3 linked regions of the Canis lupus familiaris genome follow. The protein of the gene in region 2 purifies or fractionates together with the protein of the main gene of each other region. This does not show direct contact. Links are inferred from orthologs where the notes say so. Each region holds a gene or a part of one and is shown on either strand. Other genes may lie near its edges.

Region 1 (5,393 bases), on a different chromosome or scaffold from region 2:
GATGGGAATTCCTAGCATATCAATTGATTGCTGGTAGCTGGCCCAGATGATGGTTTCTCTGAAATTTATAATTTTTGGATGCCTCTGTTCTGTTTTCTATATGATGCTTTTCTTTTTTCTTTTTCTTTTTTTTAAAGATTTATTTATTCATGAGAGACACACAGAGAGAGAGAGAGAGGCAGAGACACAGGCAGAGAGAGAAGCAGGCTCCATGCAGGGAGCCTGACGTGGGACTTGATTCCAGGACCCCAGGATCAGGCCCTGGACTGAAGGTGGCGCTAAACTGCTGAGCCACCCGGGCTGCCCTATATGATGCTTTTCAATAAGGACTGATCCTATTGAAAAGATTCTCTGAAGCCAGACAAATATCTAAATGTCATTTCTCTACCAATCTATCTGGAATTACTTTAGGGGATCTGGAAGTTTATAAAATCGGGAATTCATCAACAAATACTTACTGAGCATCAACAATGAGCAATCACTGTTCTAGGAGCTGGAAACAGAAGTGAAATATACAAACAAACCAAATGATGCCATTACAGTTTGATATACTATTTATTTATTTAGTTAATAATATGGACAGCCTATTCAACATTACAGATGTTTTTCAAAACCTATAATAAAATATAGTCCACTATCCAGCCCAGAAGAAGATAGTAAACAATACCATTCTTACAGTAAGTGTAGCATAAGCATTCAAAATAATAGTCCCTTTCCTGGACATCAAAGGGAATAATCAGTCAGTTTCTTTACCTCCACTGAGGTTTTAATTTTCTTGAATTATACCTGTTTCAGAGTCAAAAGTCCAACTTCAGTCACCCCATAGATATGTGCAGTATCTCCCACTGGAGAGGAAAGAGCTCTTGTCACCCTGGGCAGCCCATTCTACTGCCCTACAGCCCTTCCATAATGGAGCCCATCATACCTTTCAGCCAGTATTTGTCAAGCTTGTGCATGGGGACAAGACAGGGTATGTCACAGGGATCTTTTGGTTAATTTACAAAGATTGTGTTTCAAAGTTCTAAAAACCCATTTGGTGGTGGTAGTGGCAGTGAAGAGTACACTATATTTCGCCAAGAGGGTCTTCTCATCTCTTGAGTCTTGGCGTTGTCACTTTTTTCTGATAGTTGTGAGATCTAGTGCAATTCTCTGTGGCAAGTGGAGGTGGGAAACTCTAACAGCTACTGGTATGAGGCCATCTGCAGAATGAACTAGACTGGCAACTATGGCTTTTATAACCTGCTTCCTTTCTTTAGTATAGACAAACTTCTTTCTTAATCTTTTTTTTTCTATGTCCTGCTAGTTCTAATATAAGATTTAAAAGGACTAGGACAGAGGAAACTTCTGATGAAAAACTGCCACAAAAAAACAAAAAAACCCACAACAAAACCTCTACAACCCACCTTCCAATGAACTATACTCAATTTCTCAGTTGAAAACAAATGCCAAGTGAACATTAAAGACAAGTGTTGGACAATGCTGATGTCAAAATGTACATATATCAGATTCTAAAATATAGGCCAAAAAACCCCCCAAAATATGTACTTAGTGTAACACAGATTCTTCAACCCTTTAGTTTCATGCTGAAAAACACAAATATTTTCAATGTTAAGCTATGGATGACAGCGAATTAAATAAAAATTAAAAAACCACAAGGAAGCCTTGCCAAGTTTGTGGCAATTTCAGGAGTCTACATAGTTAGGAAGAAGGAGAAACCATAGGGTAAAGAGTGAGAGCATTGGATTTTATTTAACTCTAGGTACCATGGGTTTGACATTAGTAGGTAAGACTAATGAATGAGCAGCCATACAGTTTTTTGGTCACTGTGCTTCCCAAGCACCAAAAAATGGAGCTATTTTTACTATTCAATTCCATCTTTAAAAGCTAGACAGATCCTGCTGCATTCTTGTTTGTTTCTAATTTACCAGTACATTATTATGTAGTTTTACCAAGTGTGAGGAGCAAGTCATTATGTAGTACCAAGTTTACATCATCATAGGACTACAACATGCACATTCTACTTAATGTAGCTCAAGCAACAGGAATACAAGAGAACAGTTATGGGTGGAGACTTGTTTTTGACAAATTCATGTTTACACTAACTATGGGTTTAGAAATCTTATTGGGCAGGTACCTACAGCAGTTCTTCAATTGGTACTGGAACATTACACGCATGCACAAGTGATATGGAAGAAGATGGAGGACAAAGGGGAAATCAGAGCTGGGATGATGCCATGTATCAGGGAGGGGCAGTTCTCAGCTGTCCACAGTAAGTCTCTGCTCTGTGAGAGAGGCCTGTTGGGCAACACTTTTGTTCTCATGACTGCGAAGTTTGGATACAACATCTAAAAAGGCCAAATCCTGTACTTCCTTGTGTAGAGATTCTGGAAGACAAAAACCAAGATAACAGATAATGCATCTGTTAAATTGTTCTAATGTTACTATACAATCTATCATACACCTAAATCTTACTATACAATACATATACCCAAAATGTTTACTTGGATGATACCAAGTTATAAAACTAGGAACAATTCTATAGTAGCCTAGAAATGTCTTCATTAGAGATGTATCAAGGGAACTTTACTTGCCATATTTATAGACAGACAAATGTCAAGTTGTACAGTCTAAGTTTGATTAGAGTCATGAGTTATAATGAAACACAGGTCTTTGTATAATCTCAAGTTTCAGTTATATACTCCTTGACCCTATCATCAGTTCAAATATGAAGTCCAATGACTTACAAAAAAAATCTTAGAAATTTTAGATCAGTTTCAAATTAATTTTCTGGTAAATGAAAAGGTTATACTTCATATCCCTTCAACAAATTTCTGTGACAATAGCTTTCCCTTTTAGATTTCTGATCTTCCTCCTTCTGGCTTTCTTGCTCTTTTTAACCTCAATTACAGGAAAATAAAAGACTCTCAAGACTTGGAGACTGTTAGATGAGAAAACTGACATCTAATAAGCTTAATGCAATCAGCATTCCTCAAACTGATATATTTAGTAAGTTGGTAAGGTCTAAAACTAGACATAATGTTTTGAGTAGAAACAGAAAAATGCATCCTAAAACTCAGATGGAAGCTGAAGAGTCTGAATATTCAAAACAATCTCAAAAATGAACAAAGTTGGAGGTCTCAAACTTTCTAATTTCAAAATCTACTCTAAAGCTTAACAATCAAAACAGTGTTGTGCTGAAATAAAGACAGAGCTATAGATCAAGAAATAAAACAGCCCCATATATACAGTCAAAATATTTTTGACAAAGATGTCAAGACCATATGGGACACCTGGGTGGCTCAGCAGTGAGCGTCTGCCTTCATTCAGCTCAGGGCATGATCCGGCCCCAGGATGGAGTCCACATTGGGCTCCCCACAGGATGCCTGCTTCTCCCTTCGCCTGTGTTTCTGCCTTTCTCTCTGTGTCTCTCATGAATAAATAAAATCTTAAAAAAAAAAAAAAGATGTCAAGACCATTCAATAAGGAAAGGACATTTTTTTCAGCAAATGGTGCTGGTGAAACAGGAGAGCCATAAGCCCCCTTTTTTTAAATTTTTTTAAAAAATTTTATTTATTTATGATAGGCACACAGTGAGAGAGAGAGAGGCAGAGACATAGGCAGAGGGAGAAGCAGGCTCCATGCACCAGAAGCCCGACGTGGGATTCAATCCCAGGTCTCCAGGACCATGCCCTGGGCCAAAGGCAGGCGCTAAACCGCTGCGCCACCCAGGGATCCCCCATAAGCCCTTATATACAAAAATTAAGAGCTAAAACTCTAAGACTCTTAAAAGGAAAAACTTAATGACATTGGATTTAGCAATGATATCTTGGATATGTATCAAAAACACAGGTAACAAAAGGAGAAAGAGAGATATTGGACTTCATAAAAATTAGAAACTTCTGGGTACCAAAGGATACTATCAATAGATTGAAAAGGCAACCCACAGAATGGGAGAAATAAATGCAAATCATATATCTATTAAGGGATTAATATCCCAAAAATATAAACCTTTTCAACTCAACAAAAGAATAACCTGATTAAAGTATGGGCTAAGGACTTGAATATGCATTCCCCAAAGAACCTATATAAGTGGGCAACAAACACACGAAAAGCTCCCCGACATCACTAACCATTAGGGAAATGGAAATCAAAAGCAAAATAAGGTAACACCTCATACTCATTAGGATGGCTATTATAGAAAAAAAAAAAGGATTTAGAGAAATTGGAACCCATGTGCATTGCTGGTAGGAATGTAATATGGTGTAACCACTGTGGAAAACAGTATGGAGATTCCTCAAAAAATTAAATATAACCATTACTGTATGATAGAGCAATTTCACTTCTGTGTATATACCCAAAGTGACTAAAAGCAGGGACTGAAAAAATACTGTGTACCCATATTTTCATAGTGGTATTATTTATAATAACCCAAAGGTCCATTGATAAATGAATGGATAAACAAAATGTGATATATACATACAATGAGACTTAAGAAGGAATGCAATTTTGATGCAGGTTAAAACATGGATGAGCCCTGCAGACATTATGGTAATGAAATAAGACACAAAAAAAGAATATTGTGTGATTCCACTTATATGTGGTACCTAGAGTAGTTAAATTCATAGAGACAGAAAATAGAATATTGGTTGCCAAAAGCTAGGAGAATGGGTGATTGGGGAGTTATTTTTTAAAGGGTACCGAGTTTCAGTTTGGGAAGAAAGAAAGGTGGTGATGGTTGTACAGCAATGTGAATGTACTACTCTGCCACTGAACTGTACATTTAAAAACGGTTATAAAAAATGAAATAAATAAATATGGTTACAATGGTAAATTTTATGTATATTCTACATTTAAAAATGCCTCAATAACAGTCTTAGCAAGGAAACAAGACATAAAGAAGCTGCAAATGGGAATTTTAGAACTCAAAACTATAGTACTTGAAATAAAAACGTAGTGTATAGGCTCAACAGCAGAATGGAGGGGACCTAAGAAATCAGTGAGCTTTAAGACAAAACAATAGGAATCACCCAATTTTTTTTTTTTTAAAGATTTCATTTATTTATTCATGAGAGACAGAGAGGGAGAGGCTGAGACAGGCAGAGGGAGAAGCAGGCTCCATGCAGGGAGCCCGATGTGGGAGTCGATCCGAGGTCTCCAGGATCACGCCCTGGGCTGCAGGCGGCGCTAAACCGCTGAGCCACAAGGGCTACCCGGAATCACCCAATTTGAATGAGAGAGAAAATCTGAAAAAAATGAACAAAACCTCAGAAGCCTGTGGGATATAACTAAAGATCTCACACCCATGCCATTAGAGACCTGAAAAGAGAGGAGAAATAGGGCAGGGCTGGAAATGTACCTGAAAATTTTTTCCCAAATTTAGCAAAAGAAATAAG
Region 2 (8,239 bases):
GAGCAGCGGTGGGGGGGCGGGCACCAAGGGTGGGGCGAAAGTAATCTGGCCCCGGGGCTCCATCTTCCTCCTCCTACCTCACAGGTCCCACCCCACCATACTGGATATCCCTAACCAACTCTATTACGAAGGGGAGCTGCAGGCCTGTGCCGACGTAGTGGACCGAGAGCGCTTCTGCCACTGGGAGGGTCTGCCGCGACAGGTGAGGCTGAGTGGGGCACCCCAGCTTCACTCCTACCGAAGGTGCAAGGCAAGAGGCAGCTGAGTGGAAGTCGCAGGTTCAGTCACCTTGGCCTGGGATCCCACATTCCCTGGATGAGTTTGGAAGTAGGAGGGGAAGGGAGATGGGCAGTCTGGCTGAAGGTTCCCCTGACCACCATATCCAGGGCTTTCCCATCATCTTTCACGGCGTCATGGGCAAGGACGAGCGTGAGGGCAATAGCCCATCATTCTTCAACCCCGAAGAGGCTGCCACTGTGACCTCCTACCTGAAGCTGCTCCTGGCCCCCTCCTCCAAGAAGGGCAAAGCCCGCCTGAGCCCCCGAAGTGTGGGCGTCATCTCTCCCTATCGGAAGCAGGTCAGGCCATGCGTTCCTGTGGAGGGTTGGATCCCTGCCTGCCCCAGATGGTACCTCTTTCGTAGCCAGACCCTTAGTGGAGGTTCCAGAGCTCAGGCCTCTGCTGGTCCCTTATCTCAAAGGATCTCAGAGGTCAGCTGCCCTCCCTCTTTGCCCCCCCAGCTCACTGGCCTCTTGCCTGGCTCCCTCTTGCACTGGGGTAATTGCATGAGAGAAAGGCACCTGTCCCCATCTTCCAGGTGGAAAAAATCCGTCATTGCATCACCAAACTTGACAAGGAGCTTCGAGGACTGGATGACATCAAAGACTTGAAGGTGATGCTCTCTCTGTTTTCAGGCCCCATATCTGCCGCACTTCAAGAAGCTCCCCAGGCCCCCCCACCTCACTGCCTGAGCCACAGCGGGGGCTCTCCCCAGGCCTCATTCCAGCAGATCCCAGGCTTGTGCGCCTGGGTCGGGACCAAGCAGAACTCCCCAGATCCTTGCTGCTCCCCGCCAGGCTGGTTGGAGGCCTCTGCCCTCAGGATAAAGTCCAAACTCCCAGCCTGCCTGACCTGTCATGTGATAAGTGTCCCCGCTCCCATTTCCACCCTCTGAGTCAGTCTGTTCTTGGACTCTCAGGTGGTGGCTCTCAACACTGGTGGCAGATAAGAATCCCCTGGAAAGCTTTTAGCGCAGCCCGTGCCAGAGCCCCACCCGGCTGGTTAGCACAGCTATCTGAGGGCAGAGCCAGGGCATCGCGGTTTCTTTATGGCTCCTCACTTGACCTAGCGCACAGCCAGGGCTGGAAACCAGCGCCTCAAGATTGAGAGGCCTCCTGGTTAGGAGGTCTGGGTTGTTTATCTTTAACAAGTACTTAGTGATTGTCTCTCAGGAAGTTTGGAAACCACTGCTCCGAGTTAGTGGGTCCTGGCCACTGTTTTCTTAGCTTAGAACCCTTTCCAACCCGCACCCATTTCCCTGGATTCACCCATCAGGTCTGGCTTCCAGGGCGTCCTGCTCTTTCCTGCTCCCTCCCTGTGCCCTAGGACTTCTCTCCGAGAGAACCCCCCTCCCCCACTCCCCCACCCCCCTCCCTGCTTCCCCTGTGAGCCCCCTGGTGGCAGGCCCTGTGTCCCCCTGCAGGTGGGCTCCGTGGAAGAGTTCCAAGGCCAGGAACGCAGCGTCATTCTCATCTCCACCGTGCGGAGCAGTCAGAGCTTTGTGCAGCTGGACCTGGACTTTAACCTGGGTTTCCTCAAGAACCCCAAGGTTCGAGAGCTGGCGGCTGGCGGCTGGCTTGAGGAGCACTTTTGTTCCTCAGGTCCTTCCCTCCCATGACCCTGCCCCTCCCTCCTTCCAGAGGTTCAACGTGGCAGTGACCCGCGCCAAGGCCTTGCTCATCGTGGTGGGCAACCCACTCCTCCTGGGCCACGACCCCGACTGGAAAGTGTGAGCATTCCCAGCCCCTAACCCCTCTCAGGAGCCGCAGCTCCCAGCCTGGGGCAGTTGGAACGCTATTAGGCACATCCTGGTGGCCCAGCTAATGCACAGGTCTGTTCAGGTCTGTTCCTGGTCCCCACAAGGCCCCTTTTAAGTGACCTGACAGAGGGTAAGCAAGTGGCCCAAAGGCACAGGCAAAGGTAGTAGGACCAAGGCCTGGCCTCTAGCCTCCAGCATCTGATGTGCTCCTCAGCCAGCCTGCACAGCTCCGTGTGAATGTTCCTGTACCCACAGATTCCTGGAGTTCTGTAAAGAAAACGGGGGCTACACCGGCTGCCCCTTCCCGGCCAAACTGGACCTCCAGCAAGGACAGAACCTCCTGCAGGGTCTGAGCAAGCTCCGGCCCTCTACCTCAGGTATGACCAGCCAAGCAGGGGACAGCACAAGGGGAGGAGGCATGGAAGACAGGCTCACCTCTTCTCTTTCTAGGGCCCCAAAGTCATGACTACCCCCCCCAGGAGCGGGAGGAAGAAGATGGCCTGTCCCTGCAAGTAGAGCCCGAGTGGAGGAACGAGCTCTGAAGACACAGCAGACCGCTTTCTCACACCAGCCAAGCCTTAACCACCCGCACACCCCTGCCCCAGAGCCCTGCCTGAACCCAAGCCCAGCGGCACTGCCCCTCCAAAGGACCGGAAGGCTGGGGGAGGGAGTTTACAACCCAAGCCATTCCACCCCCTCCCCCCTGCTGGGGAGAATGACACACCAAGCTGCTAACAATTGGGGGAAGAGGGAGGAAGAAAAACTGAAAACAAAATCTTGTTCTATGCAAAAGCCTCCTTGTCTCCTCTGCCTGGCCCCCTCTGGCCTTGTGGCCTTCCTGAGCTCCCAGATGGACCCCAGCCGGGAGGGTGGCACTGTCCCACTCTGCCTCTGGCCATACCCCTCCTAGCCAGAGAGGATCCCCCCCCACCCCCCAAGGTCCAGGGGAGGAAACCCAGTGGGAGGTGGCAAGGAAACCACCCACAGGCTTCTAAGTTTAGCCCCTGCTCCAGACCACTCCCCTCACCCGCCTCCAACTCCCAGAGCCAGGCATGACCTCATCCCTTGCTCTGACACTCCACCCTGCCTGCCCAGGAACCTTGTATTTGCAAACAGGGGGCCAGCCTGGCCAGCAACTTGGGAGAGATGGGACTCTTAGCTCATGGCCAAGACAGGGACCTGGAGAGAAAAACGGGAAGCTGCCACACACACGTTGGAACCTGTGGCCTTTATTCATGCCTTCCACCAAGTACAGCCAGAGGCAAGGTCCCCAACCAAAGCATAAATGCCAGGGACCCGGGGCTCTGGGTGACATACACCCTCCAAGTCCCCTACCCCAGACACTCCTGTGAGCCCAAAGTATATAAAGTGCTGGTGTGTGATGATCCTCTGGGGAAGGCTGAGGGATCAAGAGCCTCACCCCTGGACCAAGGCAACAGGACAAGGGACTTTGCTCTGGAAGGGCAGGGAGGGCCAGCCTACCACCACCCTGGGGTCTGGTGGGGCAGGGGAAACTCAGATGCAGTCCTGGGCTGGAGGGAATGACAAGGAAGCCTTCCTTCAACAAGTGTGGGGCCAGGAAGTGGGGAGCTTCTGCACCCCCATGAAGGGGGGGGGTGAACAGGGGAGGCCTCAGTGGTCTCAGAGAATGGGACAACCCCTCCGGCGCTTATTCTTGCGAACCTGGAGACCCGCCCGAGTGGCCATCTCGAATACCTCCCTCACCCCCTCCTTGGTCTTGGCTGAGCACTCCAGGTAGCCAAAGGCACTGATCCGGTTGGCCATGTCCCGGCCCTCTTCAGATCGCACGGGCTCCTGAGAAGATAGAAGGCCAGAGGTCAAAGGAAGCTGCTGGCTACTTGTAACTCTCCCCCACCTTACCCATAAGTGTAGTAATCAGAACAAATACGTCTTCCAGCTCTCACCTCACAAAGCACTCAAGCCCCAGCCACCCAGGGTGGTTTCTGGGCCAGGACCCAAAAGACTCAAACGCTTACATTAAAAATTGCCTCCACCAGCCCCATACCCCATGGTATGCCCTCCTCCTGCCAGAATGAGTATCTGGCACCTCCTAACGGATCTCCCTTCTCATTTCTTTCCAGTCCATGCTCCGTGCCTGCCAAAATAATCCTAACACACAGGTGTGACCCGGTTTAAGACTGTGCCATAATTATACTTGCAGGGTAGTCCATAGTCCTCATCCCCCTGGCAACTCTCCTTAATAGACATAGTCCTCTGGCCAGAGAGCCACTACCAGGTAAGCCAACTCCCTTGCTCTCCGGGCCTTCCAGCCATGTCCGATGCCTTCCCACCTGCACCTCCCCAGGTATACTCTGATGGCATGACTTTGGCTACCCCAAGCAAAACATCTAGAGTAAGAGGCTGTCTCTGAGGACAGGGATACTCACTCCTTTTAATCGTCCAACCCAAACAGAATGGACAACAGATGAATAGACTAAAATGCCAGGTGACCTTTGATAAATCACTTCATTTGCTGATAATTTCACCAGGTGTGGGACCAGAGACTAAGAGCCCTTCTAGTTACACCGTGGAAGGGAGCAGGAGGCAGACCTCCCCCAGGGAGGTCAGCAGGACAGCAGACCCTGAAGGGTCAGTCCTCCACCCCGCCCCCCCCTTGGAGCCCCACCCACCTGCTTCATCTTGGCCAGCTCTCTCCTGGTGTGCTCATCTTGCCTCAGGTCCTTCTTGTTCCCCACTAGGATGATGGGCACGTTGGGGCAGAAGTGCTTCACCTCTGGGGTCCATTTCTCAGGAATGTTTTCTGCACAGACGTGTCCCAACAGGTGTTGGTGCCTCCACTTAGGCCAGAAAGCCCCCCCCCACCCCCCGCAAGCCCCCTTTTCTCCCCGCAGCTGTCTTAGAGGCTCTTCAACATGACAGTCCCTTTCATGGCTCAAGAGCCCCTCTGATCCTCCCCAGGGCCAGAGTCCCCACCCCATAGTGCAGGGGCAGGAGCCTAATGGCACCTCTCCCCACCCCATCTCTGAAGGTGGCTAAACTGAGCCAAGGAGATCTGCCCCCAGCGGGCTGGTCCCAAGAGCTTCTCAGTGCCCTTCTCCCAATGCCCTCACCCCACCTCACCCAGGCTGTCGGGGCTGTCGATGGAGAAGCACATGAGGATGACATCAGTGTCCGGGTAGGAGAGAGGCCGTAGGCGATCATAGTCTTCCTGCCCAGCCGTGTCCCATAGAGCCAGTTCCACCTGATGCCAAGGGCCAGTGAGTAGCTGGCCTGAGGGTCCCAGGCCCTCCCTTACCACCCAGAGGTCCTCTGAAACCACTGGTCATTTAGGTTCACTCAATATCCATCTACAAAAGCCCTCGCTATGTGCCCGGGACAATGCTCATCACTGTCACACAACATAAACTGGGTGAGTTTCTAGAGATGCTGAGACACAGGTGCTTGATCTTCATGGAGGTCATGAGCCACCGCCTGAGCACCAGGAATGGACCATAAGTCACAAGAACCTCCAAAGGAAGCCTTGTCATTACCCCCATTTTGTAGTCTGGAGTCGGAGGGGGCCCAGATTATGGATGGGATGTGGGGGCGGGGGGCAGAGAACCAGGAGGCATCTCTAAATGTCCTGAAACTACAGTTTCGCTTCCTGACTTATACTGAGTCCAGCAGGGAGACTGGAGCAGGGAAGTGTATGGATGGTGAGGAGGGGCAGCCAAGGGCTGTAGGACTAGGGCGGGGTGGGTTCCCCCGGGGGCACCAGGAGGGGCTCCACGGTCACCTGCTTGCCGTCCACCTCTATGTCCGCGATGTAGTTCTCAAAGACAGTAGGGACATAGACCTCTGGGAACTGATCCTTGCTGAAGACGATGAGGAGGCAGGTCTTCCCACAGGCTCCATCTCCCACAATCACTAGCTTCTTTCTGATCGCAGCCATGGCTGGGGCTGGCAGGAGGGAAGCGGGGGCCGGGTGGGGGCAGGAGGAGAAGCCAGTAAATCCCAAAACATTTCTCTGGGGCCCCCAAGACCTCCTGGAAACTGAAGCCTCCACAAAGGGAGGTTGAGGGCCTTACTCAGGTGTGCGTTCTTGCCAAGGACCAATCGATCAAACAACTGAGCTTGAAGTTTCTAATCTCGGGGGCAGGGCCAGGTGTCCCTGGACAGATTAGAATACAGGGGTGGGAGGTGGAAGGACCACCCACCCAGGGGACAGAAAATAGATTTCTGGTCCAATCCGCCAACTGTGAGATCCTGGACACCTAGAGGGGGGCTCCAGGGTTGGAGCCCCTTCTGGAAGAGCTGGCTTTCACCTGCTATATACCAGGGCTTCAAGTCACACTCTGTTACCAGGATTTTGATACTTTTAAAGTTTAGCAATCACAAGGGCCCTATCATGGACACGTCGGCCCTGGCTCAGAGCAGGTCATGCCCGCCCCGTTGCAGTGAGGAGTCCCTCTCCAGACCACAGGCTGGCACAGCCAACTACCAGGGGACAGGTGGGTAAGAGCAAGTCTGCTGAGCATTTCGGTAAAAACCATCCCCCTCAGTCCCCAGAAGCCTGGGAAGGTAGAGGGTGCGCTTCCATTCTGACAAACGGGAAACAAACCTAGGTGAGGTTAGGACTCGTGTCAAAAAAAAAAAAAAAAAAAGGACTCGTGTGTCAGAGCTGGGGGGGCGGGGGCACACTGGAAGCCAGGCTCCATGACTCTAGGGTCTGTCACCTTTTCTACGGATCACCTCAGAGATGGGAAAGAGAGCCGAGGGAGGGGAAACCCAGGGAGGGCAGTGGCAGCAGCCAGCCAGCCTCCCCGGCCCACCCCACCCCATCCCAGTCCCCAAAGCTAGCCCCAGTCGCACAAAGGAGGCTCAGTCCCCGCGGTGCCCACAGCCCACATTTGGGCAGCCTGCCCTCCTCTCCCCATCCTCCTGGGCCCTGGCGGCAACACTGGGTCACTCAGCCCCAGGCAGGGGACAATGACCATACTGTGGGAGCAACACATCCACCATGGGCCGAGTGACACAATAATCTACTAGGGAATCACCTCCACCCACTCCTGGAACAGCCCCTTCCTCCCCTCTGTCTAGCTCACCCCAAGGCCCTGCCCACCCCTCCCTGTGACTCAGGGCAAGGAGTCAGTTTGCCGAGGTTTCCGTAGGGTCCCAGCCCCAGCACAGCCGAGCGAGCACCAAGCCTCCGCAGCCTCCCAGCCTCCTAGCCCCGGATCTGAGCCTCACTTCCTCCCTCCCTGGGGACAGAAGCTGCTCTCCAGCCAGCTGAGGCTCCCCCAGGTCTGCGGCCTCTGAGGAAGAGAGGGCGGACTTGGAGCCGGGAGGCGGCGAGGCCGTAGGGAAGAAGGAGGGGGCCAGAGGCGGAGCTGGGAGGAGCTCCCAAAACTGAGCAGAAAAGGGCCAGTCCCCACACCAACCAGGCAGCCAGCAGTTAAGGGAGAAAGGGATGGTAACCTGATCTCTGCCCCAAACCGGGCTTTTTCTCTCGGACCCACATCCTGTCAAACTGGGCTGAGCTCCTGGACTCCTCAGACCACCACCACCCCACAGCCCTGGCTTGTCTGCCTTTGAGGAAAGCAAGGAGTCTGAGCCCAAAGCTAGTTCTCTCCAACAGTGGGATCCTGGGTGGCCTCCCTCCACACACACACACACACACACACACACACACACACATACAAGTGGGATGAGAGGAAGTGGATGAGTCAGAGAGAATTTATAGGAATTCAGAGGATACCGCCACACTGTCCCCCCCACAAAGGGGCTCTCCCCCTAGTACCCCAAAAGATAGGCAAGGCACTCACTGTGCCAGCAGGTCCCCTCCAAAGATGGAAACCACCTTCAAAAAGGGAGTTCTCCCTGGAAATTCTGCCCAAGTGATTAACTCCCCCGTACCCAGTCCCGCTAGTTCCATTGGCCCAGCTGGGCGAAAACAGGCTGGGGGCACCTGGGATGGGCAGTGCTGATGAAGGGCAGTCACGTCCACAGTGAGAACCGGTTGCTTAGATGTGAGCAGGCCACTCACTGCCTCCCTGCAGCAGGGCATTTAGGTGGTACCAGATGGTGGGAGGCACAGAGGCCAGAATTCAGGGGCAAGGGCATGCATTAAGTGATCTGGAGCCCCCAGCTCAATCCAAAGACTTTCCCTTCACGCTCTCATTGGGCAAGAAAAGCAGCTGGCTAGGCCAAGCCAGGCCAGGCCAGTAGGCCCAAGGCCAA
Region 3 (6,045 bases), on a different chromosome or scaffold from region 2:
CATGTAGTATTAAAGAATAATCTTTTTAAAAAAGATTTCGGTGTAGTCCAAAAAGCACAAATATGTATTTTATTACCCTCTCACTTTCAGGAAAGTTTGGACTTTAGACTTCATCTTCGCTATGAATTTCTGATGTTAGGAATTCAACCTGTAATAGATAAACTAAGGGAACATGAAAATTCAACATTAGATAGGTAAGTCAAACTGTTATCATCTGAGGTAGTTCATGCTTTTTCCATGTGTGTGTGCCTCTGAACTTTCTGTAACATAAGACACTGGCCCCTGAATACTAGTTCAACTAATGGTGCTTTTATGTAAGACTTTCTCAGTGAAAGAAGCAGCACATTGTACAGAACTTAATGTGGGTTCTGGCATCATACTGAATCCACATCCTTGTCCTACATCTTAACCTGCTATGAATTCTGGTCGAGTTACTCAATTTTTCTGAATCTTAACTGTTTTGTTTTTTGGGTTTTTTTTTTTTTTTTTTGAGAAATAGTGATGTAGTGATAATAATAATGATGACAACTATCTTTTATGAGTGGTTAGAAAGATTGACTATAAAACACAGAATCACTTGGCACCTTTGATAGGCATTCTATGAATGTGAATTTTCACTCTCATTCATTTGCACTTGTTTGCAATCATTTTACTACTTCTAAGATATCTCACTAGCTCTCAGATCTTTCCTTCTACCATTCTCCCTCATTCATATACTCGGACATGCTCTTCTCCTTAGTATTGTATGAACATGTTAAAATACTCTTGCCCCAGGGCCTTTGCATTTGCCATTTTTCTCAGCACTCAAAGATCTTCCTACAGATGTCCAAATTTCTTATTCCCTTATACCTGTCAGACCTTTTCCAGCCAGTGTGTATACACAACTCACCTCACCTCCTCTCATTCTCTTTTGCCTTTACCCTGATGTATTTGTCTTAATAGAACTTATCATCCCTAGTGTCTAAAATACATAGAAGGGGCTCAATAAATATTTAAAATGAATAGGTTAATGGCGTGAATATTTATTTTGTGGTCTTAATTCATCAGTCAGGCAAGTGTAGATATATGGGTAGGTTTTTCCATAAATGGAGTCTGTGAGCAGAATCTGGACTTGATGGTTTTGAGTTTGATAGACCTTTATTAATTGTCTACTATGTACTAGGAATCCTAGGCTTTTAAGTTTGTCTCTTATTGTTATTTCAGTCAGAGTATGTCTTTTTCCTTAGAACATAGTTAAGCAAAGGCATTCAAATTTTGTCTTATTTCTTTTAGAGAAATCTCTGAATATTTAGGAAAAGCCTTAGTATTAACGTCCTGATTCCTACGTGCTTGTGTTTAGAGTATGTCCTACTTTTAATAGCTTCTCTTTTATTGGATTTCAGGCATTTAGATTTTTTTGAAATGCTCCGAAATGAAGATGAGCTAGAATTTGCCAAAAGATTTGAACTGGTATGTATGCTCACAATTACTGTGATTTAACTCATCAACTCATGGAATTTCCCTGGTGTAACATGTGTTAAGTTGACATGGACTGGGTATAACCAAAGAGCAAAATCAAAGTTCTGTTTTGCTACCTAAGTGGCAGGATTAGCTCTGTTTGCCTTGGATTTGCTTGCATTGCAGGTATTGAGGATATTGGGTGTTTGACTTAGATTTCTTTTTCATATGGAATAGGTTCACATAGACACAAAAAGTGCGACTCAGATGTTTGAGCTGACCAGGAAGAGGCTGACCCATAGTGAAGCTTACCCTCACTTCATGTCCATCCTGCACCACTGCCTCCAAATGCCTTGTGAGTGTGTTTGTGACTTACATGTGTGCTTTTGAATGTTTGGACATCATCCAAAGGGCTGTGTCTTCTGAATAGTGCTGATTAGGTTGGGTGCACACCAGGGATTCCAGACCTTGGTTTTATGACAGTCCAAAGTGTTTCCACACAGCTCAGGAGGTATTGTGACATTCCAAAAAAGAAATGAATTATCACCTACTTTGATTTTAAAAATAAATATATGACTTGCAACACATTTCGAAAGGGGTAGAAAGTGCCTCTCAGTCACATAAATGATCATTGCATGTCAGAATTCCAGAGGCTATGAGAAGTGCTAGTGCAAATGTTGTAAACATCTCTGGTTCTGTGGCTCTGGTGGATGACTGCTATTGAAAAATACTCAACCTAGTTTAGAAACAACTTGAAGTGTTTTTCTATAATTCTTTTCTTTTTTAGACAAGAGAAGTGGCAACACCGTTCAGTATTGGCTACTACTAGATAGAATCGTACAGCAAATAGTTATTCAGAATGACAAAGGACAGGACCCCGACACCACACCTTTGGAAAACTTTAACATAAAGAATGTTGTACGGATGTAAGTTTCTTATTTTGCTGTCTGTGAGGTAATAGTCACCATGTAAGACATTTATTGTATCCTACTTTAAAGTAGCAGCTGAGAGAACTGAAATGTTCTAGAGGCCAAATATGAGTTCCTCCATATACATATGTAATATATCTCAGTGACCTCTGAGTTTAAATGGTTTTCAAGCATGCTGATGATTTTCTCCGCATTGGACTATTTTTTGTACCTAGAGAGCGTGTATTTTGACAATGGGCCTTTTATGTTTTTTATAATGAATACTCCTTTAACTATTATACAGGTTGGTTAATGAAAATGAAGTTAAGCAGTGGAAAGAACAAGCAGAAAAGATGAGAAAAGGTAAATAATGAGGTCCTGACAAGGGGACATGTTACTGGTTATTGGGCAACTCTGCTCTGCATATTTTAGAAATTTGTGCTGATACTTCTTACTGACTTTAGTGCATTAGTTTTTTCTATGTCATAAAGGCATTTTTGCCCTCTTTTCTCTTAAATGAAGCTATTTCAGTTGTCATACTGACTGCCAAATATTTTATCCTTTTATTATAATTATGTAAATTTTTTGGAAGACCTTATAGCATTTGCATTTTGGTATTCATAAATTCAGATTTTCTTAACTGCCACTCCTTCCAGCCCTCGCCCCTACCCCATAACTGCTCTTTAAATCACACTAGATTTTAAGATATGTAATAAAGAACATCATGAATAACCAGAATTTTAAAAGAAAAACCCAGGCCAGTTGATTCAGCAGCCCCATCCTCCACGTGACCTTAATTTGGCACCACTTATAAAAAGAAAAATCATCTAGAAAATCACTCACTGTTGTAGATAGATGCATTCATACACCAGCTCTTGGTGAGTATTTGAACATGTCTTTGGTATTAAGACTCAGCATCAGATGACAGGAGGGTCATTTGTGCCCATCACTGTGCCAGCCTCTCAGAGAGTGGATATGTTTCCTTCAAAATACCAGTAACTTAAAGTTGGTCCTTTTGTGAAAACAGTCCTATTCCTGGCCTCTGCTCTTTCTCTCTGCTGGTTAACTGACTTCCTTTTCCTTGTCCAAGTTATTTAGCCACAGCCAGTGAAACACAATAGCACTCACCCTGATAGTCAGTGTGTTGAAAGAGGGTCCAAGAGATGCCAGAGCATTTCCTTTTCCCTTGTCATATTTGTCCTTTTCCATTGAGCAGAAAAGCCAGGCCACCGATAATGGAAACTGCCAAACATGAAGTATACTTACAAGTCCCTCACGTGAATTCAGATTGTTCTCACATTGGTGAGGTTGCCACATACATTTTTATTAATAGATTCCAGAAGCTGCTATAGAAAGAAGAGAAACACTGACTATAAAGTTTGGGGTGAAGAGATGATAACAAAGAGAAAATGATCGGGTGATACTTAAGGAGTATAGTCTAGAGCATGAGGATTAAGATGTGCAAGTGGAGTAGAGTACACAGGACAGAAGCTTCAGAGTCCTTCAGTCATTTGTTCAGTGGATGCTTGTCAAATACCTGTATGCATTAGGTACTATGCTGGGCTCTTTGTGTGTGCGTAGGCAGTCACATTCTCTTCTCCACACTTCTCCTAAGATGAAGATCACGTCTAACTCACAGGGTTGTTGCAAAGATTAAATGACAGAACAAATATAAAGACTCTAACACAGTGCCTGTCACATACCAGTTGCCTAGTAAATGATAGGGACTATGGTAGGATTCGGGTGGCGGAGGTGGTACAAGAGACAATGGCCAAGGTCAGTAGGGCCAAACAGGATTGTTTAAAGTGAGGTCACAGGGGGAGTATAAAGGAGGGGGTATTATAGATAATTAATTAATTATCTATAAAAAATTATTTTCTGAAAGCTTCAAGTAGCAAGGCTGTATTATTATAGAGGGCACATGTTGATGAACTAGAGGGTGAAGGCTATGAGGAGATAGGAAGTTCTTTGGGCCCTGAAAGGTGGAGATAAATGGATGTCCTTTGTGGAGAGAATCCTTTGACAGCAGCTTCCCAGACCTGGTATTACATCAGAATTTTCTAAGGAGCATCTGAAAACAAATTCCTAAGCCCTGTTCTCCAACCCATCCCCCCGCCCCCTGCATCCCCCATAGAACAGACTCCCAAGATATTAAAATCTCTCAGGTGGTTCTGAGACACAGCTGGATTTGTCAAAGCTTCATGACCATAAGAGGCAAATCTTAACAATTGTGGAAGAGAAGTGAAGTGGAGATAAAAGAAGGAAAATGGGGTGCAGTAAGGTACTTTTTAGACAAATCTCTGAAGAAGTTGGGGACACATTTGCAAAGCAGAAGTGGATTGATGGTTATCTTAACTTCAAGGCTTTTAATGGTTGAACTTTTTTCTGTAAGTTGATTTGGGGGAACTCAGAAGAGAGAAAGTAAGAGATGGAGAAAACAAGAATCTAAATGTGTTATCAGATTCAGAAATAGAGACTAATAAATCTGTGTAGCTCTGCCCCAGTGGATTATATCTCTAGTGGGTTTACTATATAAAAAGAGTAGGAATTGGGGCCAAGTATTTGAAATAAAAATCTGCAGCCTAAAATTCATTAGTCCTCTTTCCCAAAGCCTCTCTCACTCCTGTAAGGGCTGGAGTCAGTAGGCATATTGGCAGTGTAAATAAGCATTAGGCTAAATTGGATGCCTTGTTCCATTAGAGCAGGATTGGGAAGTCAGTAAAATTACAGCTGAGAGCTAATATTTTCTCCCCAGATTATAGTGATTCTTATGCTCTGCCCTTAAGGTTTTTAATGCTGAGATGATAACATTTGCTTTCACAAGTTTTAAGAGTTATTTGCCAGAAGCATGAGATAGTTCAAGTCCCAAGTAGCCTTCTGAGAGTAGAAGGGGAGAAAGGACTCCATGTTGGGACAGACGCGATCTGGCATCAGCATTTCCTCACAGAGCAAGATCCTCCCTTTCAGTCCTGTGCTCCTTGGACATGAGCCAGAAACCTAGCTAATAAACAATGGCTTCTCTAGTTCTCATTTCTAATTTGTGAAAAGAGGCCCTTTTAATATTTGTTTTCCCTAGAGTGGTTAAAGGGGCATTTTTATGACCGGATCCTGAGCTAAGTACCAAATAGGCACCATTCTCTTCTCACACTGTGTGCATCTTTGGAACTGTGACTTTAGGATCTCTTTTTCGGTATTTTACAAAATGTAGCTAATAATGCTGTTCATCTAAGGACCCCTCCAAGCACAAAAGCACCAACACCCCTGAGCCCACAAGTCGTTCCCTTTGATGGAACAGAGAAATAATATTTACCTAATAAAGAGCCTCACAATCATCCTCAGCCAATTTTCTGTTTAGAGAAAGCACTTCAGCTTTGAAGAGTCCCCTATTTTCATGTCCCATTGTTTTCTTGTGTAGAGCACAATGAGTTACAACAGAAATTGGAAAAGAAAGAGCGCGAATGTGATGCCAAGACCCAAGAGAAAGAAGAGATGATGCAGACCTTAAATAAAATGAAAGAGAAACTTGAAAAGGAGACCAGTGAGCATAAGCAAGTCAAGCAGCAGGTGGCAGATCTCACAGCACAGCTCCACGAGCTCAGCAGGGTGAGGGCCGGGGCCACGGGCTGGGTCTTCTATTTCTGGGCAGCTGCCGAGGCCTCACTTACCCTGGAGCCCCTCACCTTAGGCAGACAGCTTCTGC

The links. Proteins that work in one complex are often made in the same cells at the same time.
Region 1: the proteins of RHOC (region 2) and RAP1GDS1 purify together in Homo sapiens (co-immunoprecipitation; 3 studies listed by BioGRID and IntAct, counting the BioPlex papers as one, with this or other methods). This does not show direct contact. The link is inferred for Canis lupus familiaris from reciprocal best matches to the Homo sapiens genes RHOC and RAP1GDS1.
Region 3: the proteins of RHOC (region 2) and DAAM1 purify together in Homo sapiens (affinity purification with mass spectrometry; 3 studies listed by BioGRID and IntAct, counting the BioPlex papers as one, with this or other methods). This does not show direct contact. The link is inferred for Canis lupus familiaris from reciprocal best matches to the Homo sapiens genes RHOC and DAAM1.

Annotation. Positions count from the first base shown.
Region 1 is NC_049253.1:19,228,267-19,233,659, forward strand, and holds the end of RAP1GDS1 (rap1 GTPase-GDP dissociation stimulator 1), read right to left. Parts: intron 2,385-5,393; coding exon 2,257-2,384; 3' UTR 537-2,256; downstream 1-536. UniProt on the Homo sapiens protein: Acts as a GEF (guanine nucleotide exchange factor) for the Rho family of small GTP-binding proteins (G proteins) that stimulates the dissociation of GDP to enable subsequent binding of GTP.
Region 2 is NC_049238.1:63,592,904-63,601,142, reverse strand, and holds the end of RHOC (rho-related GTP-binding protein RhoC), read right to left. Parts: intron 5,960-8,239; 5' UTR 5,952-5,959; coding exon 5,796-5,951; intron 5,262-5,795; coding exon 5,141-5,261; intron 4,821-5,140; coding exon 4,690-4,820; intron 3,854-4,689; coding exon 3,680-3,853; 3' UTR 3,248-3,679; downstream 1-3,247. Other genes in the region: MOV10 (helicase MOV-10), read left to right, coding at 85-202, 387-578, 818-892, 1,703-1,828, 1,920-2,008, 2,294-2,415, 2,518-2,948. UniProt on the Homo sapiens protein: Regulates a signal transduction pathway linking plasma membrane receptors to the assembly of focal adhesions and actin stress fibers.
Region 3 is NC_049229.1:34,883,936-34,889,980, forward strand, and holds part of DAAM1 (disheveled-associated activator of morphogenesis 1), read left to right. Parts: intron 1-90; coding exon 91-194; intron 195-1,382; coding exon 1,383-1,449; intron 1,450-1,674; coding exon 1,675-1,792; intron 1,793-2,224; coding exon 2,225-2,363; intron 2,364-2,649; coding exon 2,650-2,708; intron 2,709-5,760; coding exon 5,761-5,948; intron 5,949-6,045. UniProt on the Homo sapiens protein: Binds to disheveled (Dvl) and Rho, and mediates Wnt-induced Dvl-Rho complex formation. May play a role as a scaffolding protein to recruit Rho-GDP and Rho-GEF, thereby enhancing Rho-GTP formation. Can direct nucleation and elongation of new actin filaments.